Struthio camelus: one gene and its partner. The protein of the gene in region 1 interacts with the protein of each later gene in a pairwise test. Links are inferred from orthologs where the notes say so. Each region holds a gene or a part of one and is shown on either strand. Other genes may lie near its edges.

Evidence for each region. The genes of interacting proteins can lie anywhere in the genome.
Region 2: the proteins of VENTX (region 1) and TBX22 interact in binary tests that used the Homo sapiens proteins (3 or more experiments, as listed by UniProt). The two-hybrid records come from large-scale screens. The link is inferred for Struthio camelus from reciprocal best matches to the Homo sapiens genes VENTX and TBX22.

The regions. Positions count from the first base shown.
Region 1 is NC_090948.1:18,024,721-18,032,947, reverse strand, and holds VENTX (homeobox protein VENTX), read right to left. Parts: upstream 3,105-8,227; coding exon 2,879-3,104; intron 2,593-2,878; coding exon 2,372-2,592; intron 2,240-2,371; coding exon 1,928-2,239; 3' UTR 406-1,927; downstream 1-405. UniProt on the Homo sapiens protein: May be involved in ventralization.
Region 2 is NC_090952.1:27,127,368-27,135,185, reverse strand, and holds the start of TBX22 (T-box transcription factor TBX22), read left to right. Parts: upstream 1-4,558; coding exon 4,559-4,694; intron 4,695-4,788; coding exon 4,789-4,921; intron 4,922-5,383; coding exon 5,384-5,485; intron 5,486-6,027; coding exon 6,028-6,202; intron 6,203-6,284; coding exon 6,285-6,449; intron 6,450-6,545; coding exon 6,546-6,610; intron 6,611-6,690; coding exon 6,691-6,776; intron 6,777-7,818. UniProt on the Homo sapiens protein: Probable transcriptional regulator involved in developmental processes. This is major determinant crucial to palatogenesis.

The DNA.
Region 1 (8,227 bases):
CCCCAGTCCCGGTACCGCCGGCTCTGACCTCGGAGCACGAGGGGCTGACGTACAGGGTAAATAAAGCATCTGGGGGAGAGGTGGGGTCCCTCGTCGGTGCCCATACAAAATTACATGGGGTGACCTCTACCAGTGTCCCCTTGAAAAGGGGCAGCCAAGTCGAGTTTAACACTCCAGACTATTTGCGGGTAAATTGTGCATTTATTGACCTTGACTGTTGACTGTTATTGACCTATCCTTAAAATATGCTTGTGTTAGAAAAACATATCTGCCATTGCAGAGCTCTTCTGGAAACAACTGAATCCTTAATTACATTCGAAAGAGAGACAGAGACAGAATTTCAGATCCCCCCTCCTTTGGATCAATATAGTCGTTTTAGTTAAATTTGAATTTGAGAAATAAGACTCCATTCAGTGGGAAATTTTATTTCGTGACAAACAACTTTTCTTAATCCCAAACTGCATCACACTTTTGGAAAGATCTAAACAAGATAAATAGCAGCTGAACTCTTGTTACATTTCTTAAAATCCTTCAAAACAAAGATTAGAGTTGTATTAATTGCGCAAGTGCAAGCAAATAGCAACATCTCAAAGGATTGAAAAAATACAACATAGATTACAAAATAATCAAGGAGACTTCCAAATGCGACAGCTACTCAGAAAATCAGAGCACATAGTGTTGCTGTGAACCAGGCAAGTGTAGTCAAGCAAGAGGCTGGCCCCTGCATAAAAAAGAAAATAGGTGCATTCAAGGATGACCGACAGAGAACCTTCAAACAATTCATTATATGAGCCCAGATTGCAAGTGCACCGGAAGTTTTTTAATAACCCCGGAGACTGATTCTAAACTGATGGAAATTTTTATGGGTCTTTTCATGTCGGTTGACAGTTGACTTGAAAAGATTTATGACAACTTACATCAGTCAAGGATCAATTCTCACAGCTCTTTCTCTACCCTGAAATCAGAACATTTTTGACCATGAATTTTCTAGAGCGTTATTCAAATAAAAAATGCATAGCACAATGCTCATGAAACAGATTGACAGCTATTTAAACAAAGAGCTTTGGACAATTGCATTTATTTTGATAATCACTCTCATACCCTGTTAGGTGTGTGTGAGATGCCGAGATAATATGTTATTGGGACTCTTCAAATGATAATGCAAGTCCAGATCCTTCCCAAGGCCTATTTAGGTGAGAGGTGCTTATTAATCTACTGAGGCCACCCCATGAAACTGCGAGGAGGTGCTTACATAATACTTTTAACTAAAGAGATAGCTTTTTACATCTTGAAATTGTATATGATATGGTATTTAAAGGGGTCCAAGAGAAAGGATTCATTCTGCTGCTGTAAGAAGCCCAGCATTTAATATTTGTAACTAGGTCAAGATGCATCCATATATGCATGCTTAAAGACATGATCCCACCATAGAAAGTGCCACCTGGGAAGTACCTGAAGGGGTAAGGAGTCTCCTGTTTTAGGGAACGGGGGGAAATTCATAGTTTTTTTACACTCCTCCTCAGTAAATTTCAGGGTTCAGCAAATGAAAGGCTACTCAGATTTCCCACCAGAGCCAGAGCAGATCTAAGGATTAAGGAGTCCGTGCTTCCTTTCATAGGGAGGTGGTCTCTTTCAGGGCAGGATAAGTAGCTCTGCAATCCTTGTGGAAGGAAGTCAGGTCAAAGCTGGAAAGTGTTTAGGTTTATTAAGAGATTCCATTTGTATTAATACTGGCCCCACCACGTCTGTATTTTACACCGTTGCCTATAAACGCAGGGGCCTGAAGTCCACGACCCAGACCATGCAGTCTCTGTAGAATACCTTGCTCTGTGCCTCACCACAGCTCCACCAGCCAGTTACAGACCGGGGCAGCCCGCATCGCTGGCATTAGTGCAAATCCTCCTCAGGTAGAGTCCATGCCAGCGGGTCAGACGCCCAGCAGGAAAGCTCTGGGATCCCGGTACCCTACAAAGCAGGGCGCTGCCCAAAAGCCCGGAGGCTGCGCCCGGCAGGCGCTGCTGAGGTCCAAGGCATGCGCCGGCAGCGCCGCTAAGGCGAAGCCGCCGGGGGCGGCCTCCTGCCGGGGCAGCGGCGGCGGCCGGGCTGCGTAGGCGAGGGGCAAGGGCACAAGCCCGCTCTGAGGTCCGTAAGGGAGAGGGGGGCTGCAGAAAGGCTCCGGCCTCAGCTCCTGCAGCTGCCGCTTCAGCTTCATCCGGCGGTTCTGGAACCAGGTCTTGATCTGGAGGGTCGAGTGAGATGAGGAGGGGTGAAGTCACAACTTCTCCCCCGGCGGCGCCCATCCCCATCCCCATCCCCATCCCCATCCCCATCCCAGCCTCATCCGCACCCCACCCCACCCCACGCCGCTCACCTGCACCTCCGAGAGCTGCATCTTGCCGGCCAGCTTGCGCCGCTCGGCGGCCCCCAGGTACTGGTGCCGCTGGAAGGAGCTCTCCAGGGTGCTGATCTGCTCCGCGCTGAAGGCCGTGCGCAGCCGCCGGGCGCCGCGGCCGCCGGGCTCCTCGGAGCTGCCGCTCTCGGGCTCCGCCGCTGCCGGGGGCTGCCCCGCTCCCCACGCCCGCTCACCTACTCCTGGCGACAGGGCGAGAGAGAAGGGGGATCAGCCAGGCCTGGGGTCCCTGGAAGTGCCAGCCCGCTCGCCTCTTTTCCCTCTCCCCGGGCTCCGGGGAGGCTCGCTGCCCCTTGCAGGGCGAGAGGAAACAGGACCAGGCGCCCCTTCCCCGGGGGAAATTTGCGGACAGGCCCTGGCACAGGTACGGGTGAGCAGGCTCCGGTCCCTGGGGGCACAAGGCCCTTCCCTCCTGTCCCCAGCAGGACTGCACCACGCAGCCCCGACGGCGGCGGAGGCCGCGGTTACCTGCAGCGGGGGGGCCGGCCGGGCGCTCCCGGCTCCTGCCGCCTCTCCCGGCCCTCGGGCCGGCGCCCTCTTTCCCGCTCCACTCGCTCGGGCCGGGGCTGGAGCCGGAGTCGGGCCGGGGCCCCGCGGCCGCGGAAGCGGCTCGACGCGGAGCACCCTCGGCGGGGTTCCTGGGGGCCTGGCTGCTTTGGGATAGCCACTCCACAGAGAAAGGGGCCTTGGTCATCCTGCTCTTGTCTCGGAGCTGCCGGGAAGGAGGGTGCTGGGGAGCACGGCCCCTCCTTTATACCGCAAGTCCCGGAGGAAAACGTTGTTTGTGTAAATACACATCAAAGGGCCAGATAAGTATCATCTAATTGCCATCAGTCCTCCCCCTCAACAAAAGATACTGTTCACACATTGCCACAGCTCGAAGAGGCTCGGCTCCGCGGTGTCTGCCCCTGGAGGAGTTCACTCTGCCGTCAGTGATTTACAGCACTTGTTACATCCTATCCCCATGCAAATGGCATTTATAGCGCTGAGCGGCCTCAAAGGGCGCGGGGGAATGCATCCCGGGGGCGCACAGGGACCAGCATCCCGCAGGTGCTGGCAGGACCGGGATCGCCGGGGGCTCCCAGTCCCCGTTCCCCGAGAGATGACACTTTTCAATTCTCCCTTCAAGCAGAAGTTCCACTTTCTAAAGGGATCTTCCCAAACCTGCTCCTCCCTGGGCTGAGTACCGTGCTATCGAGACAGCCTGAGGCAGGCGGGTGGGCAGACTCACTGAACGCATTCTCCTGGGTCTGCTGCACCAGGTTATAAACACCACACACGGGGAGAAGGGTTTGGAGGAGAAGGCTGTGAAACAAAAAAAGGTAAAGGTCGAGCCTGTTGGTTGGTACCAATCGGCTTATTCTCGGCTGCTTACATAAAGTGTTTTTTTCTGAACTAAAGAATCAGAAAAAGACAATTATGCCCTTAACTTTCTGCTGAGGCTGTAGGATTTATGTCATATCTTCCCTCCCAGATCTTTCCAACTGTGCAGGTTACACAGGTTTCCCTGCTATCTTACTCCCCCTGGCTTTCCTGTTACTTCCTTAAGAACGCCTTTCAGGAGCGTTCCCATCCATCTCTGGGTTCTGTGGGCACTAGGAACACTTGGCTGTTGCAGTAATGCCTTTGCAGTACATTGACAAAAGGTTTCTAGTGGCCCTGCTATTTTACTGACAGTTGTGCTTCCACTGTACAGTTTCCACTGTACAGTAACCATGAATCCTCTCCTATTTCCCCTCCCTCCCCTCCTGTGCTAGGACAGAGTGGGACTTTCTACCGGCACAATTATATCTCTGATAATTCCTATCATACTCCTGCCTGGCATTAGTCTGCCTCCGGAAATCACAACTGCATGTCTAATCTGCCTGTCCTTGCTCTGGTTTTCCTCTTTATATTCTTCCTCTGCCATCTGCACACAAACCCAGTGCTTCATTGCTCATTTAACCTGTGACTTGTTCTGTCATTCTGCCACTCCTGCTGGATTTCTCAGCGTTCACTTCATTTGTGATCACAGTCAATGTAACCATGGCTCTAGTTCTTGGCCTGTCAGAGATAGAGGGCTTGAGGAGTGAACCCCTCCTACTTATTTTTTTAGTTTATGTCTAAACTAAATTTATTTATTCCATTTTAATCTTAGATACCTCTCTTTCTTTATATCCATAAGTAAAAAGTTTTACTCAATCTATTTTCATCTTTCCTAAAACCTACATTTCAGCCGCCTATTTACTCACAATGTGGTTGCTATATCCAGCCATCATGAATTCCTAAGGTTTTCCACTCACTAGCAAATTTTTCCTTGAATGAAGCTCAAGTTTGACTTATGAGCCCCTTCTAAGCTCAGTCTCTCCCTGCTTGTTCATTCCTGCGGCATAGTCTGAGTCCTCTGCTCTACCAGTGATGCCATTGTTTGAGTGTTTGTCTGTCTGATAAGACAAACAAGAATATGAATCTAGCTGTTGCCTTTATTTAAAGGTGGCTAATAACCAATCCAGAATCTGTGGGTACTACCACAACCAGGCATGACCACAGTCCTCCTGGAGTCCTTTGTTTCTGGCCACATAGGGATCTAGATACAGGCCAAACACTTGAATTGAACATAAATTTCTCATAAAAATCATCACAAACAAACAACCACAGCCATACCCTTGAGCCTGCTAAATATGCTTCCTGGAGGGAACTAAGGGTACTGGTGTTAAAACGTCTAAGCAGAGGTTCAAGCATTAATGCCTCCTGTACGTCTGTTGCATGCCTAAACAAGTCCACAAATGCCTCTTGCATGGACAAGGCTCTGCAGGATGCTACATTAGTTTTCTCAGCTGTGTGAAAGACTCTGATCCATATCTAATGACTTAAAAACTCATCTGTTTATCCATCCCAAGCATTTTCTGATTAACAATAGAAAATTGAGAAACTTCACTTGTCCAAGCTGCACAAGATTAATTTTAAATTTCCTGTGTTTTATACATTCCGCCACCCCATCCCCGGAATACTTCAAGCACAGGTTCTTAACTACCTTTTTCAATAAGTAAATGTGAAGACTTTTACCCTCCCCTCCCCCCACCCCCAAGCCTGAGGAAATATTCTAAAACATCAGATTTTCTAAGCATTTACTTATCAGCCAGTTCTGGTGCCAACATATTGCATAGACCTGACCAAACAGGTAGGAGGTATACGGAGAGGAGGCACAGAAGAATCTACTCTGTTAACTGAGTTAATAGAGCTGAATGACAAGTCCCTTGAGTCAGCTATACTTAGCATGTGGCCTGGCAACAGCATCTCCAGTGAGCACTGGGAATACTAGTGCCGTTTTGCTTGCCCAGAGAATCCAGCCAAGCCTCCTTGGGAAAAGCGAGAGCAAAAAAAAGCAAAATGTCTTTCTCAAGGACTAAATTCTCATGACCATTAAAAAAAAGGAAGTGCTATTTTTCTGCAGGATTCTTTCTCAGTTTGAATTTCCTTAATTAATTCAACAGCATTCTGCATCATAGACGGGGCCAAATAGGAGATAAATTGGTCTCTTGTGCTCAGGAAGAGGATTATTTCCATTCCTAGTCTCTATATAATATTATATAATTTTATGTAATATAAAATATTATATACATAATCTATGCACACACCTACTTATACACACAGAATGTATACCTGTACATGTAGTCTGTCTGCAAGACTTCCTTTTAACTATCTTTATTTTATGTCAAAGAACAAAGGCACTGGCAAGCTGTTGGGTAGGACACAATACATGACATACGATGGTGTTCTGAAAAATAGAAAGTCTCAGGTTTTAGCATCCACTGATACATCTGTCACATAATTTCTTTACAGATTTTAATACATTTTCACCATCTGAGCTGCAAATGACATCTTCATACACTGATGGTTTATTAATTGCCTTTTATTGAGACAAACGTCACAGCCAAAAGATGGTGTCAAAGGCTGAGCTCTCAGAGACACAAACCAATCCCATTCTGACAAGGTTAAACCAAATGTTCCCTTCTACACAAAACGTGAGCTTAAATATTCTGTTTAGATGGCAAATTACTTCTAGATGTAATGACTGTTACAGTATTTAATAGCTGCTAGTTTAATTTTATCTACATTTCTTAAGCTGCCTTCTTTCTGTTTCTATGCATTATTCATGAGGTGTTTGTTTGAAAATCTACTGCTAAACCGTGATTCAGAAAATACCATCTTTAAAATCAATTGATATTTCTAATAGGATGAGAACCTGCTCATGCGGAAGTCTTTGGGAATTTTGCCAAAGACATAAAGAGAACGGAGAGGTCCTCCCAGCTCTGCTGCTACAAGGAAGTAGAGATAAAGAGCTCAGACATACAGACATAACTGCCACAGCAGAAGTCTTAAGATCCATTTGCTGAAGATGAAGACAATACTTCATGTAGATGTTTGTTCAATAGACACTTGCTCTCTCTGGGGAGCCAGAACCTTCTCCACAAAAATAAGGACCACCAACTTCCTGATGATCAAAGGGGACTGAGGATCAAAATGCCAAATGCCAGTCCAGGCCATGCCGTTCTGGGGAGGTGATGTAGAAGGGAACATTTTAGCATCTTGGAGAATTAAACTGAGTTGAGATTTATTACTTGATATAGATCCCCTAAGTTTCTTGTGAGCAGGAGCTGCTTTCAAAGAGGCTAAGAAGAAAGATCGGCTTTATAGATGTCTGGCTGGGACAGGTAGGATGGGATCAAGACAACAGTGCTTATACAAGGCAGCTCTATCAAAACGTATACACACAAGGCTGGGTTCAGGCTTAGGAGGTTCTGCAGAACTGGCTATTCCTGTTTGGATCCCTATTAAGCAGTTGATAACAGATATATTTCAGGATAACAGCCCCAGCCTTTGAAAACTAATTACTGCTCCACATCTTGCAGAGCAAAGGCCAGCCCTGCCCCAATGGGCCAGGTCACAGCCCAGCAGAGGGGCAGTACTGTGCTCAGAGATATCCCCTTCCCACTGAAACTTTGGAGGAACTGAAGAGAAAGAGTACCTCTGGGCTACCAAGTACTTTGAGGTCCCCACCGCAGCTGAGCTGGAGAAAGCTGCCGCCCACTTGGCCTTGCTGCAGTAGGGGTACACAAGACAGAAGGTAGGCACTCTCCTTTTGTAAAAGCAAGTTGTCCCTTCTCATAGAGAGTCCTGTGAGACTACAGCAAAGTGAGCATGTGCTTCTGGGAGCAGCTGGGTGGTGATGCAATGAAAAGAGCAAAAAGGGTTTCTTAGGACATGCAGGAAGTTGCGTGTTCATCTGCAGAACTGTAGTACTTCTATGATGGGATGCCCAGGGAAGCAAGGGCTGCTGGTACGTGCCATATGATTTATGTGGGTTTTGCCCTGGTACGTTTATCCAATCATTGTAATTTCTGAGGAATCACTCTTTAGGACTTAAAAGCATTACTAGTGGCCTTTAATCAAGCTCTCTATTATCAATTATTATAATCTCTCCTCCTTGACAGAATAAGAGGTGTTTTCCAGGAGAAATAAAAAGACCATATGTGCACAAATACCAGGAGGGCCTGGAATAAACACAGTGACAATGCATAGATGAAAATCAAATGTTTCATCAAGCTTGGAATTGATCTAAAACAATACAGCACTCAAAATGCCAAGAGCTCCCATGGCCCCTTACCATAAGGTTGTTACTAGCAGCTTAGCAGAGCCAGTGAAATATTTTAAAAAGATACATATTCTGCGGAGAGATGCTGCAAATACTAAGAAATGAAACACTCATATGGGTTGTGCTTTTAATAGTTCCTTGCCAGAACTTAAGCATATCAAAAAAGTCAAAGTAGATATGAA
Region 2 (7,818 bases), on another chromosome or scaffold:
GCGCTCGGTGCCGAGGATGCGGCGGCAAAGCAGCGGCGGAGGCTGCGCTACAGGAGTCAGGGTTCACTCTCTATCTCAGATATGCTCTGCTGCACTTCAGAGAACAAATGCAACGGCGGCTTTTGCAAAGACCCGTGAAGGCGCAGTGCTGCGTTCCCCTGGTTAGACCCTGCCTCCAAGGGAGCCTCCAGCTGCCGCTGGAAAAAGGAGGCACTGAAAAGCCCCTGGCCACCGGGGAAGGCTGTTCTCACCTTTTACTGCTAAAGGTGCGAGTTAGAAACAAGCAAAGCCAGTGCTTTTCAAAGGGCTGTTTATTGTGTTTAACCCGTCTGAAGGATATAATGCTGAAAGTTGTATTTTCAAAGGTTTTTGTTGTCAAAATATTTAGGTAGCTTACGTCCATTTAGAGCGTTTCTACTGTGTAACTCTGCTATTGCTTGAAAATACCGTTCATATTAGGATCATATAAAAGTACAGTGGAAAATCCGCAGGACGGGAAACCCTTTTTCCAAAATGCTAACAAAAAGATTTTCTTGCTAACGATTCTCAAAGCTGGGAACGAACAATCTCCCCAGTTTGCCTGTTAGAGCAGAAAATGTCTCAGTATCAAATTTTTAACTGCAGTTTTGTATAAATCTGTGACATATCAGATGGAGATATAAGTGATAAAAGTATTAGATGCATAATTGGGTGCAGGTGATCTGTATACTTCAAATGTTATCCCTAAGCCACAAGTCACGTTTTGTTTGGTTTGGGGTTTTTGTTTTGTTTTGTTTTGTTAAATGCAAAGTAAATCTTGGCAAAACCAAGCGCAGCTTGAGCAAAATTAAATCTCTCAAAGTCTGACCATAAAGTGTTCAGAAAAGCCTGTGTTGGGAATTTACCTGTGTGCTTTAATGGATTAATGGACAGTATTAAAAGATCATTTCCAAGTTAAGCAAACATTTCAGAGCGTATTGTATAACATTTGCCTTAAAATTAAGTTAGTCAATCTGAACTTTATGCCAAATGATTATTTGCTCGATTTTCTGATGACGGTAATATATTACATACCATCAAATAATTTGTTAAAGACAATAAGATTACAAAGCTCAAGAACGGTCTGAGTCAGTCTTTGACAGATTAAAGTTTTCCAAGTCCCCTGAAAACACTTCTCTGACATATTAATTTGACCTAAACCCTCAAAATGTTCCTGATTATATCATCTCAATTGTGCTTTATTTTTGTTTTATTTTTCATTGTAGGAAATTAAAAAGGGTTGGTTGATCCTTGTCCAAGTTCTTGAAATGTGTTGCAATGCGAAGGAAATAAAAGATTACTTGAAATACTTTTTAATAATATGTCATGTCAGCAGAGATAAAAGTTTACACTTAATGCCCTCAGCTGGCTTCTATCAGAATTGGTAAGGACAAAAAGTCACTCGTGGCCATGCTGCGGGAAGGACCTGTAGTTCACCTTGCATTTAAATCATGAGCTTATGTTGTTGTAATTATGACCACGTTCATGAAATTTGTTTCATGTCTCTTTTTAAGGAGAAGTAAGTGTCTGCACAGGTAGGGCTGATCCTGCCTCAGGGTTAGAGCAGAAGGAGATAATCTCAAGGTCTCTTCCACCCTCCCAACGCCTATGAATTTCTGGCTGTGCCGGCCGCACCAGAACTAAAGTCACCCTGGCAAAGCCCTCCTGAAATGTGGACATGGCTTCGATATCCGTCTCCTCACGGGCAGGTACCTCTGAGCATGCCTAATACTAAGGAAAATCATGTCAAAAGGGTTTGGGGCTTTGCGAGGCCACCGTTGGGTAAAATGAGAGGAAGGGCTGAGTCTACGTTGTAGGAAGAAACAAATAATCCCGACTACAACGTAGCGTAGCCCATCTCCAGAGACACCTGGCAAAGGAAGGTAAGTACCACTGGCCTCGGTAAAAGCTAAAACAAAAGTTAATCAGCATCTTACTCTCTTTGAAATCCATGGTAGGAAACTCCGGCACTCATTCCAGCATCTGGGCTGCTATCTCCAGCCGGCATATAATGCCAGGTGCACACACTTCTGTAGAAAAGCCTAGGGAAGAAACTTCTAGGAATATCGTTCCATCTGCTCCTTTGTACAGCTTCTTTGCGTCTGTCCCAACTGCCGTTACAAACTTTGCTGTTGGTTTCCCAAAATGATTTCGATGTGAGCTCAGCTGGATCTTGCAGAGATTCCTTTTCAAAGGGGAAGGTAACCTTTAGCTCCTAAATCTGTATGCGGGCCCGTGTCCGACATGGCAGGCTCCCCAGAAGCTGAGTAACGGGTGTCCTTGCAGTGGTATTCAAGGACAACAGCCCGATGCTGTGGCGTTTAAAGCACACAACGTTTGAGAGGAGCCTTGTCAGGCAGTGGCCTGTTTGGTTGTCTCTCTGCAGCCAGCAGTTTTCGTTCTGCTGCCAGTCCAAGGCTTGGAAGAAATGTATGCATCAGGGAACAGACCCTGACGAATATTGCAAGAAATCCTGAAAGGTTTCACACCTGAATAAACCAAAGCTTCCTCCGAAACTACAGAAGTGCTTGGAAAGGTAACAGGAAGATGAGCCGTGTATCCTATTCCCTTCCCTCCCTGGCCACCAAAGACGCCGCGAACTGCGGGCAGCAAGGATGTTCCTGCAGCCTCCACCCTACGCACGCTGCTTTCTTAGCTGACCTCTGAATTTTAGCCACTTGCACATTTTTTTCAATAATCTTGCTCTGTCCTAGCAGAGGTTTTATGAACACCTCACAGGCCAGAGGGCAGCTCTGGAGCACCCAGGAGCCTGACGCTCCCCAAAGCCCCGGTGCAAGGAAAACCAGGACAGGGCTCGGTCTGGTTTTGAACCATTGCAGCCGGAAGGACCCATCTCCCCTTCCCTCCCCAGGGCACAGCAAAGGGAGCAAAGCTCTGCTTTCCGGGCAGCTGCCCCAGCCCCACTCCCAGGGTGGCTGCTAGGCTTGGATGAACTTATGGGGTAGGAGGGGATGGTCCTTAGCTAAAACTCAGGAAGGGAATTAGGCATTTTGCCTCTCGCTAGCACCTGCCCCCCAAAGCTGGACCTGGCTCCCGGGGAGCTGTATTACCACCTGGGAGCCGCGCACCCCGCCGCCCCAGCACCTCGGCTGCGGGTGACCCGGCAGCCCCCGCTCCGCTGCAGACACCCCGCTCCTCTGCGACGGGCCGGGCAGCAGCCAGCCCCGTGGGGAGGGCCGGGGGCTCCCCGCCGCTGCGCTCCCTTCTCATTTGCGAATTTACCTTTTTTTTAAAAAAAAAAAAAAACAAACAAATTTTCCCCTTTCCCTCCCTCCTTTTTCTAGCTGCTGCGAGTCACTTTCGCCCCCCCAACTCACCGAGCTGCTCCTGGCAGGGCAGTGCCCAGGCGGGACTGTGGGACCCCGGGGCCGAGGGTCCCGCTGGCGCAGCCCCTCCGCGGGCGCGGAGACCCCCGGCCCGGGCAGCCGCACGTCGGCGGCCGCTGGAGCCGCGCTGCCGCCCGCTGCCATCTGCCCCCGCCGCCTCCCTCCCTGCGCGGCTCCGGCAGCGGCGGGGCCGCGGCGGGACCGCCGGGGGGGACACCCGGCCCCCGACGGCCCGGCCGGCTCCCAGCTGGCGCGGGGCGGGCGGGGGGGGCCCGGGCACGGCCGCGTCTGCGGCAGCGCGGAGAGCCGCGGCCCCCGACGGCCGGGCGCGCAGCGGCTCCCGGGACCCGCCCGAGTGGAAAACTCGGCTTTTGGCCCCTAATTCGCTGCAGCTGCCGCTGCGGGGACGCGCTTTGAAGCGGAGCCGTGGAAACAGCCCTGGGGTCACGCCAGAGCAGGCCGGGCGGAGGCAGATTCTCTGCCTTTGTAAAACAAAGGGGGAAAAAAAAAAAACCCGACGGGGAGCTAAAATCTGACCCCCCCCCCCGTTTCCGCGCTGCCACACGGGAGAGGAGGGGGCGGGCAGGGCACCCCGGCTCGCCGTGCTGCGGGCAGAGCGCAGTCCCCGTGGGACAGCCCGGCCGGGCCAGCCGCACCGGGGCCTTGAGCCGTACTGGGAAAGCCAAAATGCACCTTTTTTTTTTTTTTTTGATGCTGGTTCTGGTTAAACGTTATTTGCACTTTTGTTGGAAAAGTGGCCCCTAGTGTGCAATTATGTCAAATTTCTTTGAGTTTTACAATTTAATGGAGAACAGTAACTCTTTTATTGATCCTAGACGGGGCCGGCTCCTCTTCCCCCGCTCTTCCCCTCCGCCGCTCGCTTTCCCCTCCCCTCCGCCCCCCTTTTAGCCCTACGAAATGTCACTCAATGTTTCTTATGCTCCCACCAGTTTCCAAAACAAACAGTGGAGGCTGCAGCCGTCTGTCGGCTCGGTCGGAAGCGAGCGGCTCTCGCCGCGGCCGCTGCCCCCCGACGGGAGCGGCGCGGCCGGGGCCGGCGGGTGCCGGGGGGTGCCGGGCCCCCCGCGGGGCTGCCCGGGCGCCGATGGAGCGGCGGGCCGGAGCCCCGAGGGCCGCCTGAGCCCGGCGGGAGGCTTCGCCGCTGCCGGCGCAGGGCGGGGGGGGGGGGGGGGATGGCGCTCAGCTCCCGGGCTCACGCCTTCTCCGTGGAGGCGCTGGTGGGGAGATCGGCCAAGAGGAAGCTGCCGGATGCCCGCGACGAGGAGCCCGGGGCCGGGCGCGGGCAGAGCCGCAAAGCGCCCGACGCGGGTTCGTAGCGCCCCGGCGGGGCCGCGGGGGGGCGCGGAGCCGCCGCCCGGCCCCGGCCCGCAGCCCCCGAGCCGCCCCGTCTGTGTCCCCGCAGAGAAGCGGCCCAAGGCGGCGGCGGCGGAGAGCCGGGAGGCGCGGGGCGAGGTGCAGGTGGAGCTGCAGGGCTCCGAGCTCTGGAGGAGGTTTCACGACATCGGCACCGAGATGATCATCACCAAGGCCGGCAGGTAGCGGCGCCGCGGGCCGGGCTCGGGGCAGCGCCGGCCGCGGCGGGGGCCCCGTCGGGGGTCGCCGCCCGGCGCCGCTGCAGGCCGCGGTGCGCTGGCTCGGGGGGCTGCCGCCGCCGCAGCCCCCCCCTCCCCCCCGGCCCCCCGAGCCGCGGCCCGGCCGCCCCCCGAGCCGCGGGGCCGACGCTGCGCTGAGCATCCCCGCTGCGAGTCATCATCCTCCTCCTCCCTGCCTCCTGCGCCCGTTTCTTCTCGTCCCCCTCTCCCCGCTTTATTTTTATTTTTTGGTTCTCCTTCGTTGCAGGTTTGTTGTTTTTTGTTACTGTTTTGAGGACTTTTTTTTTTTTTGGTGCCCATTTAGTTTTTCCAATCTCCTTCCACTCTTAAAACGGCAGCTTTGGCTACGAACGCCCCCCACCCCCCAAACCATCCTCCCCGCTAACCGCCGCCCTGTGCCTGCAGGCGGATGTTCCCCTCCGTGAGGGTGAAGGTGAAGGGGCTGGAGCCGCTGAAGCAGTACTACATCGCCATCGACGTGGTCCCGGTGGACTCCAAAAGATACAGGTAAAGGCCGGGCCCCGCTGCCGCCGCCCCGCGCCTCGGACACACGGACACGGGGGTCCCCGCGTGCGACACCCGTATTTGCAATCAGCAGCCTGATCAGCCCCCTCTGCACCTGAGATACGTACATATAGATGTAAAATACAGAATGCATGTATATGAATCTGCACCCGCGATATAGATAGGTATAATATAGAATGCATGTGTGATATAGCTCTGCATCGGAGAGAGAAATGTGTACACAGTATGCATATGTATATATGTGCACCTGAGATATATGTATAATACGGAATGCATCTGTACCTGCATCTCAAAGATATATAATGCATAATACAGAGTGCATATGTATATACACCTGCAGCTGATATGTGTGCGTATATATATGTATATGCACGCCTCTAAAACGCCGAGCGCATAGGCAGGTGGCTGGGCAGGGGTCTGCAGGCACGCGTGGCTCCGGGGGTGCTGCCGCGGCGGCGGGCAGGGCCGAGCCGGAGCGGGCGCCGTCGGGCCGCCTGCAGCCGCCTGTGCCCCCCGCGGCGCAGGTACGTCTACCACAGCTCGCAGTGGATGGTGGCGGGCAACACGGACCACTCGTGCATCACGCCGCGGCTCTACATCCACCCCGATTCCCCGTGCTCGGGGGAGACGTGGATGCGGCAGGTCATCAGCTTCGACCGCGTCAAGCTCACCAACAACGAGATGGACGACAAGGGGCATGTAGGTGTGGAGCGGGGCGCGGGCGCGGGGCGCGGGCCGTCGGGGCCGCGCTCACGGCGCCGCGCTCCGCTCCGCCGCGCAGATCATCCTGCAGTCGATGCACAAGTACCAGCCGCGCGTGCACGTTATCGCCCGGGACGGCCGCCCCGACGGGGCGCCGCTGCAGGCGCTGCCGGCCGCCGGCGTGCAGACCTTCTCCTTCGGCGAGACCCAGTTCACCACGGTGACCGCCTACCAAAACCAGCAGGTACCGCACCGCGCCGCCCCGCGCAGCGCCGCGCCGCCCCGCGCAGCGCGCCCGCCCGCGCCCCGACGCCTCCCTCTCGCTCCCCCCCCCCCGCAGATCACCAAGCTGAAAATCGACAGAAACCCCTTCGCCAAGGGCTTCCGCGACCCCGGGCGCAACAGGTAACGGCGGCGGCTCCGCGCAGCCCCGGCCGCGCCGCGCAGCCGCCGCCGCCGCCGTCAACCGCGCTCTCGCTCCGCAGGGGCGTTTTGGACGGGCTCCTGGAGACGCTGCCCTGGCGGCCCCCGCTCGCCCTCGACTTCCCGGCTTTCGGCGCCGAGAGCCAGGGTGAGTCCGCCGAGAGCGCGGGGAAAGCCGCGGAGCGGCCGCCGCTGTTGCGCGGGGGCGGCGCGTCCCGCCGCGCCCGGGCGGTTCGGCAAGCGCGCGCGGGGCTTGACGTCCCGGCGGGGTGAAGCAGGGCGAGCGGGCGGCAAGTGCGGCGTGCTGCGAATCCAACGCCGCGTGTCTTCTGCAAAAAAAAAAAAAAAAAAGAAAGAAAAAAAAAAAGAAAAGAAAAGAAAAAAGAAAAAAAGAAAAAAAAAAGAAAAGAAAAACCTCCTGTAAAAATCGAGTTAAGAAGCAGAGCGCTGGCCCCGTGGAGGTACGAGTAACGGCTCGATGCACCTCTGCAGTAAGATCTAGATACGGAGAAAAATAGTCTAGATATGCAAAAGGTTAATTTAGAATAAGGTTGTTATCGCTTTGGTCCTGTTGTTCTGATTGTTTCCACACCTTTTGTAGACCGTTATCTGCAGACGTGACAGTAGCAAATGCGGGTGTCTACTGTAGCTCTACTGTACAAACGCTTTTTTCAGTCGAAATTTATCGCATATTCAGGACATAGCAGCCCCACAGCCCCTTTGATATGGGAAAGATGGAAAAGTTTGTTAGTGAAAATCGTCTCCCTCCGCCTGGTTTATGCAGGTCTATCCCTTGCAGTCCTTTTGCAGAAAAATGGCTTTTGGAAATATTGCCTGGAAAGTGCCTACTCAGAGCGCCGAGGGAAAAACTAACGGCGCATTTGTGCACGGGAGAGCTCTAATTTAAGATTAAAGCTGCCAGTCTAACTCTTATTTACGTTATAAACTTTTCGAAGACATTTGTATTAGCACATCCATAATCTTTCCTGTCTCTCCGGGAAAATATGGCTGGTTTTATCACAGCAAATACAGATTTTATGCTGTACAAGCGTAGAAATACAAAGACATAAAAATCAGATTTGTAACGATATAGGAGAAAGTAAGAGGTTTATCGGTCGCAAAGGTAGCTACATTTTTCAGAAGAGGCGTCGTGTAAAATGCTGCTTTTGAACCTGGTTGGAAGGTTGTGA